Linked DNA regions of Drosophila melanogaster. The protein of the gene in region 2 interacts with the protein of the main gene of each other region in a pairwise test. Each region holds a gene or a part of one and is shown on either strand. Other genes may lie near its edges.

Region 1 (7,717 bases), on a different chromosome or scaffold from region 2:
CTACTAGCGGCTTATCTCGGGATCTGACTGCGGTCACACTTGACCAATTGCATTTAGCTGGAAAAAAAGCTGCTGGCGAAAATTGGCAATAAAGTGCAGGAGCAGCCCAAGCATGGAACAGGCCGAATTGGGCAGTACGTGCCTTGCAGCGCCTAAGCGCCGCTTCCCGGACAACGAACGTTGTGGGCGGGAGCTGGCCGCCGTGCCCGTGCAGCCAGTGCTGCCACAAATCCCTACCGAGGAGGAGCCGGAGATAAAACAGCGCAAAAGGGAGAAGGAGCATAAGGAATCCCTCGACCGGGAAACGGAGTGCAACCTCATGGACTTCTGTGATGAGCTGCTCTTCGAGATCTTCCAGTACCTGGACACGTCCTCCATTCTGGCGGTGATGCAGTAAGTAGTCCGCTATCAACAAAGATCTCTGCGTCGCTGAGATTTCCATGTCCTTTCCATATTATAACATTCCGTAATATTCCAGTTGCTCGCCGCGCTTTGAAAACCTCCTGCTGGATCACCGCTTCTATCATCACATAGACTTAAGCAACGGGCCCCTGCCTATGGGCATCCTAGAAGAGATTCTTGGACGAGCCACCGAAAAGACACACACCATTAAAATCTGCGGACCTCCGTCCTCGCAGCATGTTGCAGGCGAATTCCGCCAGTTCACCCAAACGCTAAGCTCCGTTTTCCCCAGGGTTGTACAGCTTAAAGTGCTGGAGCTGGAGGGCGTCAGCCTGGACTTCGAATACGTGAGTGCTGGCATCTCGCAAGTTTCCCTGGTCTACCCCAATTTTATCTTTTCTTCAGATACACATAACTGAGTTCCCGGCCACTCTGAGGCGTCTGAAGCTAAAGGACTGTAGCGTTAGGGTCGGCGACACGCCAAAAAGCATATTTTACTCCATAGAGCTGCATCTGCTTGATCTAGAGGTGAGTTTGAGCGAACGACAGTCCAATGAATAGCCTAACCCCGTCTTATTTAGGATCTCAGTATTGAGGACAACAGCTGGTTCGAGCCCTATTATATTATGGGCCTGTCGAAGTTACCTTCCTTGCGGCGTCTTAGTCTTAAGGGCTGTCAGGCGCTATGCAAGTTTGTGCCCTATGGCAGCATGGCGGCACGTTTCGGTTTCCAAAAACTAGAGGTTGGCATAGGTGCAATCGGCGAATATTCTTTATAAAGGGTTATTTATTTCAGTCACTAGATCTTCGCCAGACGCCCATCAACAACTCAGATCTGCAGTGTTTTAGCGCTATCGAGAATCTCAAGGAACTGCTGCTTGAGTCGCCACAGATCCTGCACTCCAAACAAGCCGTTGCTAAAAAAAATACCAACGGCAACGCCACTGACGAAGCTGCTTCCCCGCAGCCTGATTCACTGAAAGTGCTTAGCGATGACGAGCCGTCCACATCGCGGGCCGCCATGGAGCATCTGCGTGCATGCAAGGTTGCGTTCAATTTGGACAACTGCAGCGATAGAAAGGAGGAGAAGTCGCCGGTGCCAACTGAGCCTCCTTCGGAGGGTCAGGATCTTCAGGCGAAACGAATACGAGCACCATCAGAATCCGATGATGAGGACACATCATCCACCTCAGGGTCTTCGTCGGACAAATTGGAGGTTTTATCGTTGCCCAGAAATGGTCATAGCAACGCTGCACCTTTGAGCGGAGGCGTCGACTTGCCGCCACTTCCGCATGCAGCCGATGCAGCCAATGCAGCCGATGCACCAATTGCAGTTGATGCAGCCAATATCGAGGCTCCCGGGCAGAGTCCCGGCTTGGATCCTAGACCCCCGCGCGCTTACATCTACGTGCCCGACGCTGAGAACGCTAACCCGCGCCAACAGCGTAGTGTTGTGGCCGTATTTGCGCAGGGAACGGAGCAACGGTATATCTATGTCAATCAACAATTCTCACTCCCGATGAATGTTCTGATGCCGACGCGACGCCATCGTACGCATCCGCGTCCGAACTACGATCAGGTTGTTCAGCATCCGATGTTTTGGAACATGCTCGAGCCACTGGATCGCGACTATGCTCGACGAGTGCGCCCACGTCCGCCTTCCTGTCAGACAACACCTCAATACTATGTCACCGATCGGGCGATGTATAGCTTTGGCCGAGCTGATCGACCGGTGCAACCGGACGTTGTCTGGATCCGGAACATCAATCGCTCGCCAGACAATAAACTGGAGCGACTGTCGTTGCGAAACTACCATCTCATCACAAATCATACCCTGGAGCACCTGGTGCAGTGCTCTCCGAATCTGGTGTATATCGATGTTAGTGGCACCAGCATTACGCTTCCGGCAATTCGGCGCTTCAAGATCTCCAAACCGAAATGCGAAGTGGTCGCCAATCACTTGGAGGAGTTTGAAAGACTTCCGGAGCTGGAGACACAGGAAGAGGATGACACGGTGGTGGTGATGCTGCAGCCACCGCCGCGCGCCGACGACGAGCAGCCACCGAAATCGCCACCGCCACAGGAGGTGGTGGCTCCTTAGAATATTGTTTGTAAAGATTCCGTCGAAGTGGGCCGTGCTGGATTATTTTATTTTTTTTTAAGAAAAAAGACGACATGGCCAAGCCGATGGATCCACAACGCTGGCTACAAGCGAGTGCTGTAGCTCAGCCATCTAGTATTACGTTTGACTATTCGAGTCCTTGTAATATATACACGCCAGGCTAAACGCACTGTATAAATCAAAACCACAATTCAATTCCTTTAGCTAGGCATTAAAAAGAGCGCGCGAGATCCTTTTGGTAAATATGTATAATGAAATGTTTATTTGGTTGGTATGTAGTGGGTAAGGACAGGCCAATAGTTCGGTGACTCGAGTTAAAAATGTATGTAAACTGTATATAAGCGGTGTAAAATGTTTACTTGTCGACGCCATCCTCCTCTTCGGCATCCGACTCGTCCTCGGTATCTTCCGACTCGGTCTCCGATCCGCTGGAGCTCTGACAATCGGCAATCTCGCCGGTGAAGAAGATCACCGCCTTGGGAATCACGCGCTCCTTTAGATAGAAGCCCACCTCAAAATCGTTTTGCAGCATAGCCTGTGGGAGGAGATGCATGTGAAAGGATCGCAGATCGCTGATATTCAATCTTACATTGACGTCACAGTAGTTGGGGTCAAGGGTATCTTCTGGCAAAAGCGGCGGCGAGAAGAACTCAAAGAACGACGGCTCTTGATTTTCTGGTCAATGAGTGAATTCAACTAACATCTGTGAAATTTGATGCTCCCAGATGGCTTACCGGTTTTGGTCTGGTCCTTGGTCTGCTTCCAGTCGATGACGCAGCCTTCGCACTTGTAGATCTCGGCGCCATCATATGCGAGCGGATCGTCTGGATCCGGCAGGCAGTTGAGGAAATATGTCTTGGTCAGCACCGTGTTGGTAAAGTAATCATTGGGATCGAAGTGGAATTCGATATCAAACTTCACCACGGGTTCGTTGTACAGCCGAGAACGGATGTCGCTTAAGCACTGCGCGGGAAAAATTTCAATTAAAATTTAAATATCCTTCAAATCGGATCTATCCATAACATACCTCTAATATTTTCTCATCCCTCTTGCTGATGAACTCGGTGTACGATGCTTTGAGAACCCTCAGCCAAAAGTTGGGCACGCTCTGATTGGTTTCCACGTCGCCGTGGTTTTGCTTTCTAAACTCACTGCACCGATGGGATTTTTGGGGGAATTGAGATCTTGTTTAACCAAACACCATTAATGGACTTACTCTAGAATCTTCTTGCGCTTATCAAATATGATATTGTGCTTATCCTCGTACTTCTTCTCGATATTGTAAATGTCGCGCTGCAGAGCCACATCCAGGTTAATGGTCTCCAAATAGAGCTGCTTCAGTTCGGTAAGAGTTTTCTTCTCCTTCTCGGTGAAGTTTAAATCCGATTCCATCTTCGGTGGAGCGGTGTACTTCATCCGCGGAGGGTTTCGATTTCGCACAGTTTCCATTTATGTTTCGACACGATAATCAAAAGAAAAATAAAAAAAATATTTCTTGAAGTGATTTGGTTTTGTTCAAGTATAAAATTTGGACGTGTGCGTTTTCGCTGTGACTGCCGTTGTGGGAATGAAAAGTAGCTCTATCAGTTTCCCAAAACTCCCAGCACAAAAGGCAAGGCCCGCTTTTCACTAAAGTGCTGGAACTAACTAGATGTACTAGAAAATATTAAGCAATTTATTATTCTTTTTTTTTAAGCTACATTTTTAAACCCTCGTGTTATTGCTGTTTTAGTCACCCCTTTCGCCTTACTTTGCCCATTGAGATGCAGGCCATGTTTATTGGCAATTTAACGCACATTTAATTCCTGCTCTTTTCCTGTTTATATATTTTTGGTTTCCCCAAAATTTTTTGTTTGCTTCCGCCAACTTTTCATTTGGCATGTAATTAAGTGTGGGCCAAAAGCTTGGACTGGGTGCCGCCAGCCTGGCCTAAGTGTATGCAAATCACGTGCTGAGTGCTGTGCCGCCAAGGGTTCAGGTTCAGCCATTGCCATCGCCATCGCCATCGCCATCGCCTCCTGGAGTCTGTTAAATGGACCGTGGACCCAGTTTCTGGTCTATCCGAGAGTCGCTTGTCTTTTGTCGCTGGTTTTAATAATGTGGGCCAGGCTTAGTGCCATATGTCCGGCTGTGAAAAACAACAGAAAAAAGTGAAAAAAAAGAGTGAAATTGTCGCTTAGGCAAACATTTCAAAATGAAATTATGAGTGGGCCAGTGGCGGCGGGCGAAAAAAAAGTGTAAACAAATTCAGCCAAGCGGAAGTCCAGACACACACACACACACACAACAACGCACACACACATCCGCCAAATGAAAGCCGCAGAGGATAAGCGGGAAAAGCGGGAGATCGCATTGTTGTGCGCTGTTGAATGTTTGCCCACAAATACAAACACACACGACACACGGCACATGCACTTGTCCAGTCTCCACAGGACATCCACCACTCGCTGCTCTCATATTTGATATTATTAAATTTTTTCCCTAAATACCGCTGGGAAATTAAAAAGAAATCATAACGCAAATAGTGTAAGGCAGCCAGGCATCTGATGATGACGGCTCTGGCTGGCCAATTTCCACATTTGTACGAGTGTATGCCTGCACTGTGCAAAATAATTGGTATGTATATATATTTCACGTCATTATCATTAGCAGGAATGGAATATGCAAGATAGTTAGGTATTAATCCAAATGAGATGGAAATCGATAGTTGGGAACTAATCAAGATCAACTAATCAAGGACTCTTCAAGTGCACAACCATTTAAGCTATTCGGGCATTTTCAATTTACATTTCGGTCATTCAATTAGGCGGTGCATAAAATGTAGCTACATAAGTAATGGAGCAGCCCCATCATCATCAGCATCATCAGGATCATTTGGAGGAACATGGGGACCATGGCCATCACCCACGTGATTGCCGCTCGTCGGAGGTCGTCAGTGCCGGGAGCGTCAACATAGTTTGAATTTAATTAAAACCAAAATTAGTAGAGCCCAGCAGAATGGAATGGTTTGGCGCAGCCCGACCAACCGGAGCAACAGTTACTTGGCGCAGGGATTAAAGCTCCTGCTTCAGCTCCTTCCTGGCAAAAGTGCATGTCTGCAGAAAATCGAATCAGGAGCTCAACATCCTCATCCACGAGCCAGGCAACCTGGCAGCCTGGAACTCCTACGTTTCCACCTGCTCCTGAAACTGAAGCAACGGCGCCATGCCGAAATATCTGCAACAAAAGCATAAGATGTAGTGCGGCATTTGATGATGAAACGACGTGTTAATTAAGGTCATAATAATTCAACTTAAATTGAAAACTTGCCCGGCCCCAGAAACGCAACCATGGCAGGGCATGGCACTCACTAACCATTTTTGGTTGGTCGGGCATCGGGCATCGGGCGAAGGGCATCGCATCCTCGGAATCCTGGCCAGGCTAAGCTGATTGCAACAAATTATTTTGCACCTTGGTTGAACTTTCCTTGAGCTGCAGGCAGCATGGCGTTCATAAACGAATTTTGTTAGTTTGCTTTGCTTATTTTAAATGGAACTAGGTGGTGGCCAGAACTCCCAGGATCTAGGATACGCGAGTGGCTGGTGCACCGAGGGACAGGGGCCAGTGTTGCCTTTGGTTTTGCATAAACCAGACAACGCATCTAATAAGTTGCAGCTGTCGGTTGCCACCGTTCTCCGTGCATTTCAGTTTCAGCCAAAGAAGTTGAAAGTTTTTTACTTGGCCCCGCCTAATGCCTCAAAGTGCAGAGCTGTGTTTGCCATTAAATGATATTAGTTAAATGATAATTAACAGCTGGAAAACTTGCGAAATATCTCCGTCTAATTTGCATAGCCAACTAATTGGCTAAGAGGGTCATTGCTTTTCGTATTTTTCGCCAAAAATATCCTTGCTGCTGCTCGGCGAATGTGAATTTGAAATTTGATTGACAGCTTATTAATACAATTACAATAAATATTTTGGTGGCAACAAGATTGCACATTTTTTTCGAGTGTCCCAATAAAATGGTAGCTTAGTTGCTCATAATTAACAACCACACACCTGCATTTCGTCTTGCCCGACATCCTAATTCGAATGCTATTCATAAAGCACACACACACACACACACACGCGCAGCACAAGGAGCAGATCCTTGCCAGCCGCAGGATAGTTTGGCAAACGCTTCCTCGGCGCCGCACCCCCGCACCACCTCCGCCGCCTGAAAACTTTTTACTAATTTACATTCATTACACACATTTGCAATAAAACTAGAAACCCAACTCGTACACAAATTCAGACGCCCATCTATACATATGTATGCGTTTGTGTGTACATGAAGTCTTCAAGAAGGGAGTGTGTGTGTGTGCGTGCGCGTGTTTGTGTGTGTGTGTGTGTGAGGTGTACATACGACTACATTGACATTTTACATGCTTCATTAGCGTGCAAGCGCGGTAATAATGACATTTCCTTATGGCTGCATTTCCCACGAATACGGGCCAACTCCTGCATATTGATGCAAAGTTTTCGGTGGCGCAAAACTTGCGGCTATGTTGCCACAAAATTTATGCTTCGTTTTTGGCACCTCTTAAAGGCACGTTAAAGTTGCCCATTCGCCGCTGATTGCTAACCGAAAAGCAAAACAGACAATGACAATCGAAATTGCTCAGCATTTCGACAATCAAATCAGCCAAACAAGACAAACACGACAACATAAAGCGAAGACATACAAATTTGTCAGCAGTCAGTCAAAAATGAGCAGCGGAAATGATGGCAGCCCCGCCGGAAACGGAACGCGACAAGGTGGATGGTTGGCTGGGTGGTTAGGTGCTTGGGTGGTTGGGTGCTTGGGTGGTTGGGCGGGCATTTATTCTTTCTGCTGCACAGCTGATGGCACATGACCTCCCCGTGACTTTTGCCTGCCTGCTGCGCTGCTGCCTGAAATTAAAATTGCATTACGGCCCAGAGCTGGCAACGTATTGGGTTCAGATTTGGTTGGCTTTCGCCTTGGATCGTTTCGGTTTGCTGATGGGCATGATGCTGCTGCACTGCTAAAAACAAAAAACATCCTCTCTTTTCATAATTTTAATAAATTTCCATTGAATCAATGTCGCAAACTCACTTGGCTAGCTGCTTGTTGGCTGCTGCCTTATTGAAATGCATTCGAGGTAGTGTTTTCTTCGACTGTAAGCTCATGTGTTTGTGCTGGTTCCATAAATA
Region 2 (8,476 bases):
TATTGTAAACTCTTATGGAATTATTTTTAGCTGCTTATGCGAAATATTAGTCATCAAATGATTCATCAATGTGAAGATTGCATATATCTGAAGCCCCCAAAAACCGATTGCAGCACTGTTTATGTACTTTATTATTAAATTCCATTCTTCAGGGCGAATAATATTAGCTTGTGGGACTGGGGTGATTCGGATTGGACTGAGATCGGGCTGGCTACTGTTCGCGCATATACAGATACAGATAGCCGAGGTCCTTGGGTGGGTTCTGCGACTTGGCCACCTTGCTATCGTTGAAGATCACCCATTCGCCCTTCTTGCGAATGTGACAAACGTAGTGTCCCACCTGGGCGGAGGTGCCCATGTGTGAGATGAATGCCACCAGGCGATACTTGCCGCGGCCATCGCGGTAGTTGGTCTTATTTGGCGTCGAGGAGGCCGCTGCAGCTGATGAATTCGCAGCGGGGGCAGCATCCTCAACACCAATTGAATCGGCGTGCGAGAAGATCCAGTCGGTGGCGCGCTCCACATTGCCATCGGTCGCTTTCAGAGCAGCCACCGCCTGTCTTTCGTCGAAGCCCATGCTCATGAGCATGGCCAGGCTCTCGGGATTGGCCACAAACTGGTTGGCGGCGCAGTCTCCAATGCTGTTGTTCGGCACCACAAAGGGCTCCGAGATATCCTCGTCGGCGATGTGCTCCATCAACCAGTTGGAGGCTGCCTCAAGTCCGCTGTTTTTGGTGTGATAGCAAGCACGCTTGCAGGCTTCCGGTGGAAAACCCATGGTCAGCAACTCGGACATGACCGCCTCGTCAAATGCAAACTTCACCTCCTCTGTGGCGGGCTCGGGAAGAGCCTCCTCACCAGGCTGCAAGCCACCAGCGGAGCGCCAGTTACTTAGATCCAGTTCATCGGGCATGTCTACGGAAACGTCCAGTTTCTTGGGCACCCAGTCGTCGCCCAGCGTGAACTTTCCCACGTGAATCATCAGGCAGTCGGGCATGGTGGCCAATCGCGTAATTTTCCTGGCATTCGTCTTGGACCCGATGGCAGTGGAGTAGAATTGCTCGATCAGCTCCGGGCCGAAAAACCTTTCCAGGCATGCCTGTAGAGGCACCTTGTGCCTCACGATGTCGCGATCCGGAAGCCGTTGTCCGGTCTCGCGGGCCGCCTTCTTACGCTCCTGGAACTCCCGCACCTCATCCAGATTGGTGGCCTTGTCCAACGGAACAGGCAGACGGAAGCTGTATTCCTCGCGGGTATTGTACTTCACCTTGTGGCTGGCCAGACACTCAACGCGATCCTCCAGCAGGAACTTTAGAGCATCTGCGGGATTTGTTTGGTTCCGCGAATTCCTGTCCAGCAGGGTGAGCAAATGCAGATAGAAATCGTTGGCATCTTGCTGCTGTTTGGTGCTGAAATCTGGGTGATTCTTGCCCACAATGTTCTTAAACATGGCCGGCGATATTCCGGTGCTGTGATCGGTGTCCAAAGTGTTCTCGGCAATACTGCTGTACTTTCCCGACTGCAGACCAGTTCCCAGCTTGGCCATTTGAATATTGAAGTCGTTGGCCGGGTCGCTGGGAAACTCTTTGAAATAGCGTTCCGCTCCAGTGCCCACGAACCGCTGCTGGAAGTCTGGGATGACGAAGAGCACTTGCATCACGCTGTTTATGTAGCAGGAGTTGCCCAGATTGCGCATGCCAGTGTATCCAGGACCAGCAACAGGCTGCAGCTCACTTTCGCTCTCCGTAAGCGCCGTCCACTCGCCGATGCGCTGGTTAATGTCCAACTCTAGCTCCACCATCGACTTCTCGCTCTTCTTCATCGCCGCCATGTTGATGCCAAAGTGGGAGAGATGGCGCTCTAAGTGTGGATCGAGTACCATTTCATCCTCCGGGTAGGAGAACACATCCGACTTGCCATCAGCGGTGATGGTGCCCAGTTTCACCGCCAGCGGGAAACCCGTTACTCTGTAGTGCTCCACGGCGTGATCGTTGCCGCCACTGCCGTCAAAGAACTTGCGTCCGCACATGATCGAACCATCGGTCAGATTAAGCCAGAGGTTGTTGGTCAAGTCGCACTTCTCGCACTGCCAGCCGGATGGGGGAATCCTCTTGCCATTATCCAGCTGCTGCAGGTTATCTGCGTACTTCGACGCCTGACGCACTTCACCATCCCAGGTGCCTGAAAAATTATTGATTTTAGGCTACCTTCGTCAGCATGGGATAACAATCCTGCAACTCACCCATCAGCGTGGCCTTCTCCAACTTGGCAATTGCCGAGTCGGCGGCCAGGATCGCTTCCACCGACTGGGTGACACGCATGGGCAGCTCTGGATCCGGATAGGGCAGCTTCTTATCCAGGTGCGGAGCCACCACGATGCTGTACGTGTCCTTGATCTCGTACTTCTTGGCCATGTCCGACTCGTTGTAGCCGCCCTCGACGCCAATGGCCAGGCGGGTGATCTTCCGTTCCGGTCCTGCCTCCGACTCCGCGCATTCGGCCTCCATGTCGGCGCCCTCCTTGATCGTCTTCACCCGCTGGATGTGGAGGAAGACCCGGTTGCCGGTCTTGTCGGCATACTCCCGCACATACGCCTCGCCGAAGCCCAAAAAGCTGTGCAGGCACACGTACAAACCGGTGGGCGTCTCGGGATTGTCATAGGAGTAGACGCACTCGTCCTTGTAGATGGGAGGACTGCCCGCCCCGGATGCGCATGGCACGTTCACCTTGGATAAATGCTTGCGTAGTTCCTCCATAACGGTATCTGGAATCCTGTAGGCAGCTCTTTTCTCATAAACTTTACGGACCGAATGTAAAATAGTATAGTTGATTTTTTTTGCAGCTGCTGCTTAGAGATGAACATGGGAAAATGCATCGATACCGGCGAGCATGGATATGCGAATATCGATGGGTTGAAATGGTGTTTTACTGGTTGAAATCAGCTTTTAACAATTCTTACCCTTATTTTTGTACCTTATAACGGCTTTTGAGTGATATTTACGTATTTGGCCGCCCAATAAGCACAATTAGTTTAATTTGACTGCTGCAGGCTATCGTTGTTTATTCAATACTGTCATCTCTAGCCAAAGCCAACAACAAATTCGCGAGTCACCAAGGGAACCGAACTGGTTCCGTTAAGTACGAACAATGCGGGGAAAGTGTGGCAACGCCGATTGTGATTCATCAGATGTATAACCGAAGTCAACATTTTAAAACAACAATTCAAATGTTAACCATTTAAATACAATAAACAAATTATTTTAAAATTTGGGACAATCTTTAACAATTGGGATACTAGTTTTGATCTAGGACTGGTCACACTATTAAGCGACCTGTCAACTCGTTGTATACAAAGTTGCCATATAGTCACAAAAATCTTTCGCATAAAGAAGTAAAACGTAAGAATTTTCATATGCGTTTTTCGCCAGGAAATCCGCATTAAAATAATGTAAAAAGTGGTAAAAAAGTTGGCGCAAAGAGTGAGCCAGTCAAAGGCATTGAAATTCAGCTCGCTCTAACAGTTTTCGGCGTTGTTTTGCCCCTCGCATAAATTTGTTGCGCGCCATTTTGTTTTTGGAAAGCAAAAGAAAAAGAAGAAATACAACAGCAAAAACCTACCACAAAAAGTCAAAGTTTGTAAAAGCGATAAAAAGCAAGAGGAAAAGGAATTCTGTGGGGGGAAAAGCGAGTGAATAACATGTGGCGGCTTGGCTAGTTCGAGCATCATCTTTGTGCCTCTAAAAGACATACGAAAATAACGCGCGACATGCACATAAATAAATACGACTGAAACACTGAAAACTGAAAATATCGATACGATGAATAAACGAAGAAGCAGCGATTAGTACGTCGTCGGCGGTCGTCTGTGTGGGTGAGAGAGTGAGGAAGACGGGAATGGGGAAGGCGATTAAGTGCGAAAGAGATGGAGGAGCGCGGGGCGCGTATATAATTACGTCATAAGAATTAAAGAAAATTCAAGGTCTACAGCACTGCGGCTATACAAAAAGCTATACGATTTCGTTACGTTCTCGGTTTTATCAAAAATAAAACTTTGGCCAGTGAGCAGCAACAACAACAAGTATGGCTGTTGTGTTCCAGTGTGTGTGTGTGTTGTGTTTCATTTTCGCGACTGTATAATTACATACACACGCAGTCCCGCCGATGTTGTTGTTTCTGTTTGATTTTTTATTGTAAGCGAGAAGAGCGCGCAGCTGTGAAAAGCAGATGAGAGAGAGAGAGGAAGAAAGCGAGAGAGTGGAATTTGTTGTTGAGCAATTTGTGTAACCATCGATAATGTTTGATTTATTTAAACCCCATTTTTATTACCCCTTTTTGCAGTGACTCGCGATGCGTGCGGCATAGAAGTCGTCGCCCCCCAAAAAACCGTGATCCCGACCCCCCACACGCACACACACATGTACAGACTGCGATTGTTCATAAATTTAAATTGATTAAAAGTCGGAGCGAAAAAGTAAAGCGAACAAAACACCGGAAAGCAAGGAAAATTAATAAAAATCAATAGAGGCGAGCGGGAGGCGATAAAAAGTGTTATCAGTGCGAATTAATTGGCTACGAAGAAGGAAAGAAGCAGGAGGCGGAGGAGCGGGAGCAGGAGGAGGAGGTTGCTCCGGAGATTGAGGTTTAGGGAGCTCCAAATCCGCATCCCGGACGCGGATCCGGACCCCTCGACATCATGTCCGTGCAGCAGTTCTGCCTGCGGTGGAACAACCACCAGCCGAACTTCATCTCCGTGTGCTCCTCGCTGCTGCACAATGGCACCCTGGTGGACGTCACCCTGGCAGCCGAGGGTCGCCAACTACAGGCCCACAAAATAGTGCTATCCGCCTGCAGCTCGTACTTTCAGGTAAGTTGGAGATCGCCGCAGCGTATATCCCTTACGAATTACACTCAAATGTGTTCGACAGGCTTTGTTCACCACAAATCCGTGCCAACATCCCATTGTCATCCTGAAGGACGTGCAGTACGATGACCTAAAGACCATGGTGGACTTTATGTACTACGGCGAGGTAAATGTGTCGCAGGAGCAGCTGCCGCACATCCTCAAGACCGCCGAGATGCTCAAGATCAAAGGCCTAGCGGAGATGCCAACGGATCCGGCCAATCTTACCAAGTCGGATAGCAAGTCCTCCACCGACGGCACCGAGATGGTGGGCGGTGCGGGAGTGGGCACTGGAGCGGGCAACTCGGCTGGCAGCCTGGGAGCCGGCAGTGGAAGCAGCGTCGGCGACTCCCTGTGGAGCAGCAGCGAGGCCCAACAGTTCCAGCAGCAGCAGCAACAGCAGGCCCAGCAACAGGCACAGCAGCAGCACCATCACCACCAGCAGCAGCAGCAGTTGCAGCAGCAACAACAACAGGCGCAGCAGCAGCAACAACAGCAGCAGCACCATCACCACCACCATCAGCAGCAGCAGAGCGGACAGGCGCAGGCGGCGCAGACGCATCACCACCAGATGCGACGTACGCCGTCGCCTTTGAGCGCTGGAACCTCGCCGGCCACCAGGCGCAAGCGCTTGCGCAAATCCTCGAATAACGGTGAGTTGGAGTTGGGTAAAGCATCGTCGTGATAGATCCAAAATTGTAAGGTCTCAAAAAATAACCGGTTTTCGTAATAACGCAGGTTCTGGCGATCGCAACAACGCGGAGGAGCAGCACAACAGCTCACTGGACGCGGGCAGTGGTGCCGGCAACGCCGGTCTCAGTCTCGCCCAGATGAACCAGATGACATTTGGTGCGGGCGGCGGCTTGGCCGGCCACTCACTGCACGCGGCTAAGCTGCTCAAGGAGTCGGCCAGCGCTGAGCTAGAGCAGCAGCCGCAGGACTCGGATCTTGACGATGGACACGGACACTTACACATGCAAATTGTAATGAAATTGGTCACGTTAACCTTGTACCCTCGTCCGCATGAGCAAAGTCACTAATTGTTTTCTTTTTCTTCTCGGTGCCCACGTGCAGAAGCCCGAAGTCGACATTGGCGGCGTGAACCAAACGATGCCCTTGGACATCTCCGGCGGTACCACACCATCCGAGCACGATGCGCCGAACTCCCAGTCCTCGCACTCGGGTAAGTCGCAATTGGAAATCAAAAGCCAGCACACTGTTCCATCAAAGCTCATTGTTCATCGGGTAGGGATCTCATTCGCCAGGTTGGATTCTTTTTTTTTATCGTTTCTTAGTTTTGTTTGCCTTGATTACTTTAAAAAACACAAATCACGGACAACTTAACTGCAATTCGTAGTCAAAAGAAAGCTGACACACTATAGACTAAGCAGGAGTCAAGAGGGAAAACGTGTATAGATCAGAAATGACTTGACTTTTTTGAAACGAGCATGACTGAAAGAACATAGCTTTACAATGTTGGTATCATTTGCGAACTGACTAGGGGTTCACTGAACTGATAAGCACTGTCACCTATGTTCTCTTAAGCAAATCAATGTGAAATCTGAACCACTGTGTACTCTCGATTCATCGAAATAATGCCCACAATCATACTTCATCTGCATATCTCACACACGAACGGTGCCATTTCGAAACAATTTCAGTACACAGCGCTTGGAGAAATGAATGCTAAAGCTAAATATGAGATCTAGTATACCGATTATTCATTACTGATTTACCGACTAAGTGCAACGAAATAATTGTGAAATGCCGAAATTTTCTATGTTTAACTATTATTGTGTATTGTATTCCAAAAAACCGAATCCTGCCTGAACTTGGGAATGGGAGAGAGCTAGCACAAAGTCCAAAACAAAAACTAAAACTTCCAAAAACTAAATCTATGATTTGTTTTTCAATTGTTCATTCTCGATTTGCGTTTACTTGCGTTTTTTTGATTTTTGTTTTGTGGGAATTTCCAAAACAGCGGTTTCCGATGATAATGATTTAGCCTTAGCAATCTTTCCTCTACTACTTACCTCTATTGTACCTATCTAAGAACTGCCTCAGAACCTATAAACTGTCTCAGTACCAACACAACTGAACTAAGATCAAACCTGACCTGACCAGACTCAAACAGACCCAATCCCGATCCATTAGAGCTAGGAGAGAGCGATCTCAACTTCAATTTCGATCGAAATGCCCCAGTAACCAGTACCAGTAACAGAACCAATCTTTCATTCGCTGTCTCTCTCTCTCTCCCCTTCCCAGGTCTGCAATGGACAGTTGTTGATTCCAACTATCCGCGCTTCTCCCTGCCCGCCTGCCAGTCCAACTTGTTGGGCAACGGCGGAGGCAGCGGTGGTGGTGCCGGTAGCCAGAGCAGTGGTGCGAATAGCGCCGGCGGCGTCAATAGCGATCAGCGGCAGCAGCACGAAGCCCAGCAGCAGGCCACGCAACAGCAGCAGCATCTGCAGCAGCTGCACTACCAGCAGCAGCAACAGCAGGAGCAGGCCTCTGCCTCCGGACAGGCCTACTCGTCGCAGATCATTACCGTGAACAACCTAGTCGGAAGCTATGCGACGGCGGCCCAGAACCTTTCGCCCACCTCGCCCAATGAATCAAACATGGTGCAATCGGTCTACAGTCAGGGTCCGACGCCCACCCAATCCCCCGTGCACGCAGGAGTCGGTGGAGCAAGTGCGGCTGGCGGAGCAGCGGGCAATGCCAGTGCTGGAAACGGTGGAGCCCCTGGAGCGGCCAACCAGGTGGTGAAGCGCAAGAGATCGGTGAATCCGCAGGGAGACGAAAACTTTATCCGAGCCCTGGAGGCGGTACGCACGGGAGGTATCGGATTCTGCAAGGCGGCACGACTTTACGGAGTGAACAACAGGACACTCTGGCTGGAATACAAAAAGCGTGGCTATCCGGTGTCACGTCCCAGCATAAAAGCGCGTGTGGTCAAACAGGAGCCGAATCTGTCGCCCTCGCCGACGCCATCGACGAATCAGGGCGATGACAACACCAACGAAACGCTCGGCATGCAGATACCACCACAGGCGGAGACTCCGACACCTTCGCTCATGTGCACATCGCACCACACTGGCCTGGGAAGCGGAGCTGGAAGTTTGCCGGCCGGAGGAAACTCGCACCCAGCGATCGGGGTGATGAGCCTGTTCGATCCTCGATACATGGATTCGCCCGGCAATGTGCACTCGATGACGCGGCAGCGTTACATCGAAGCCACCGGCGGCGGAGCAGGTGCGGGAACGGGCGCAGGCACCGGCACCATCAACGTTAATCCGACCACCGCCATGAATCTACAGAGTATTAACTTCAACTCAATATAGAATACGATTTCGAGCCAGGCGGGGACGGCCACTCTGCTCCAGGCAGCCGCCGTAATGGCCGCCAGCGAGCCAGCGGAATCCCTGAGCATATCAGCCATGCCCGTCTCCGTTCCAATGGGCATGGCGCACAGTTTCCTCATCAACAACTTCGTAACGGTGGCTGCACCGCCGGTGGCCACGGTGACCAGCACGGGCCTGCAGTACTTGGACAAGTCGTAGGTCCGGACACCGA

The links. Proteins that work in one complex are often made in the same cells at the same time.
Region 1: the proteins of BtbVII (region 2) and mil interact in a two-hybrid assay, tested with the Drosophila melanogaster proteins (one large-scale study listed by BioGRID).

The regions. Positions count from the first base shown.
Region 1 is NT_033777.3:27,908,824-27,916,540, reverse strand, and holds mil (milkah), read right to left. Parts: upstream 4,095-7,717; 5' UTR 3,974-4,094; coding exon 3,741-3,973; intron 3,676-3,740; coding exon 3,552-3,675; intron 3,488-3,551; coding exon 3,259-3,487; intron 3,200-3,258; coding exon 3,114-3,199; intron 3,060-3,113; coding exon 2,880-3,059; 3' UTR 2,756-2,879; downstream 1-2,755. Other genes in the region: CG5003 (uncharacterized protein), read left to right, coding at 113-393, 479-749, 808-930, 984-1,145, 1,199-2,503.
Region 2 is NT_037436.4:3,145,290-3,153,765, forward strand, and holds the start of BtbVII (BTB-protein-VII), read left to right. Parts: upstream 1-3,356; 5' UTR 3,357-3,398; intron 3,399-3,410; exon of another isoform or gene 3,411-3,448; intron 3,449-3,612; exon of another isoform or gene 3,613-3,632; intron 3,633-3,843; exon of another isoform or gene 3,844-3,871; intron 3,872-4,338; 5' UTR 4,339-4,693; coding exon 4,694-4,864; intron 4,865-4,925; coding exon 4,926-5,553; coding exon of another isoform or gene 5,554-5,568; intron 5,569-5,638; coding exon 5,639-5,883; coding exon of another isoform or gene 5,884-5,895; intron 5,896-5,974; coding exon 5,975-6,083; intron 6,084-7,165; coding exon of another isoform or gene 7,166-8,463; exon of another isoform or gene 8,464-8,476. Other genes in the region: Usp5 (ubiquitin specific protease 5), read right to left, coding at 212-2,181, 2,243-2,756.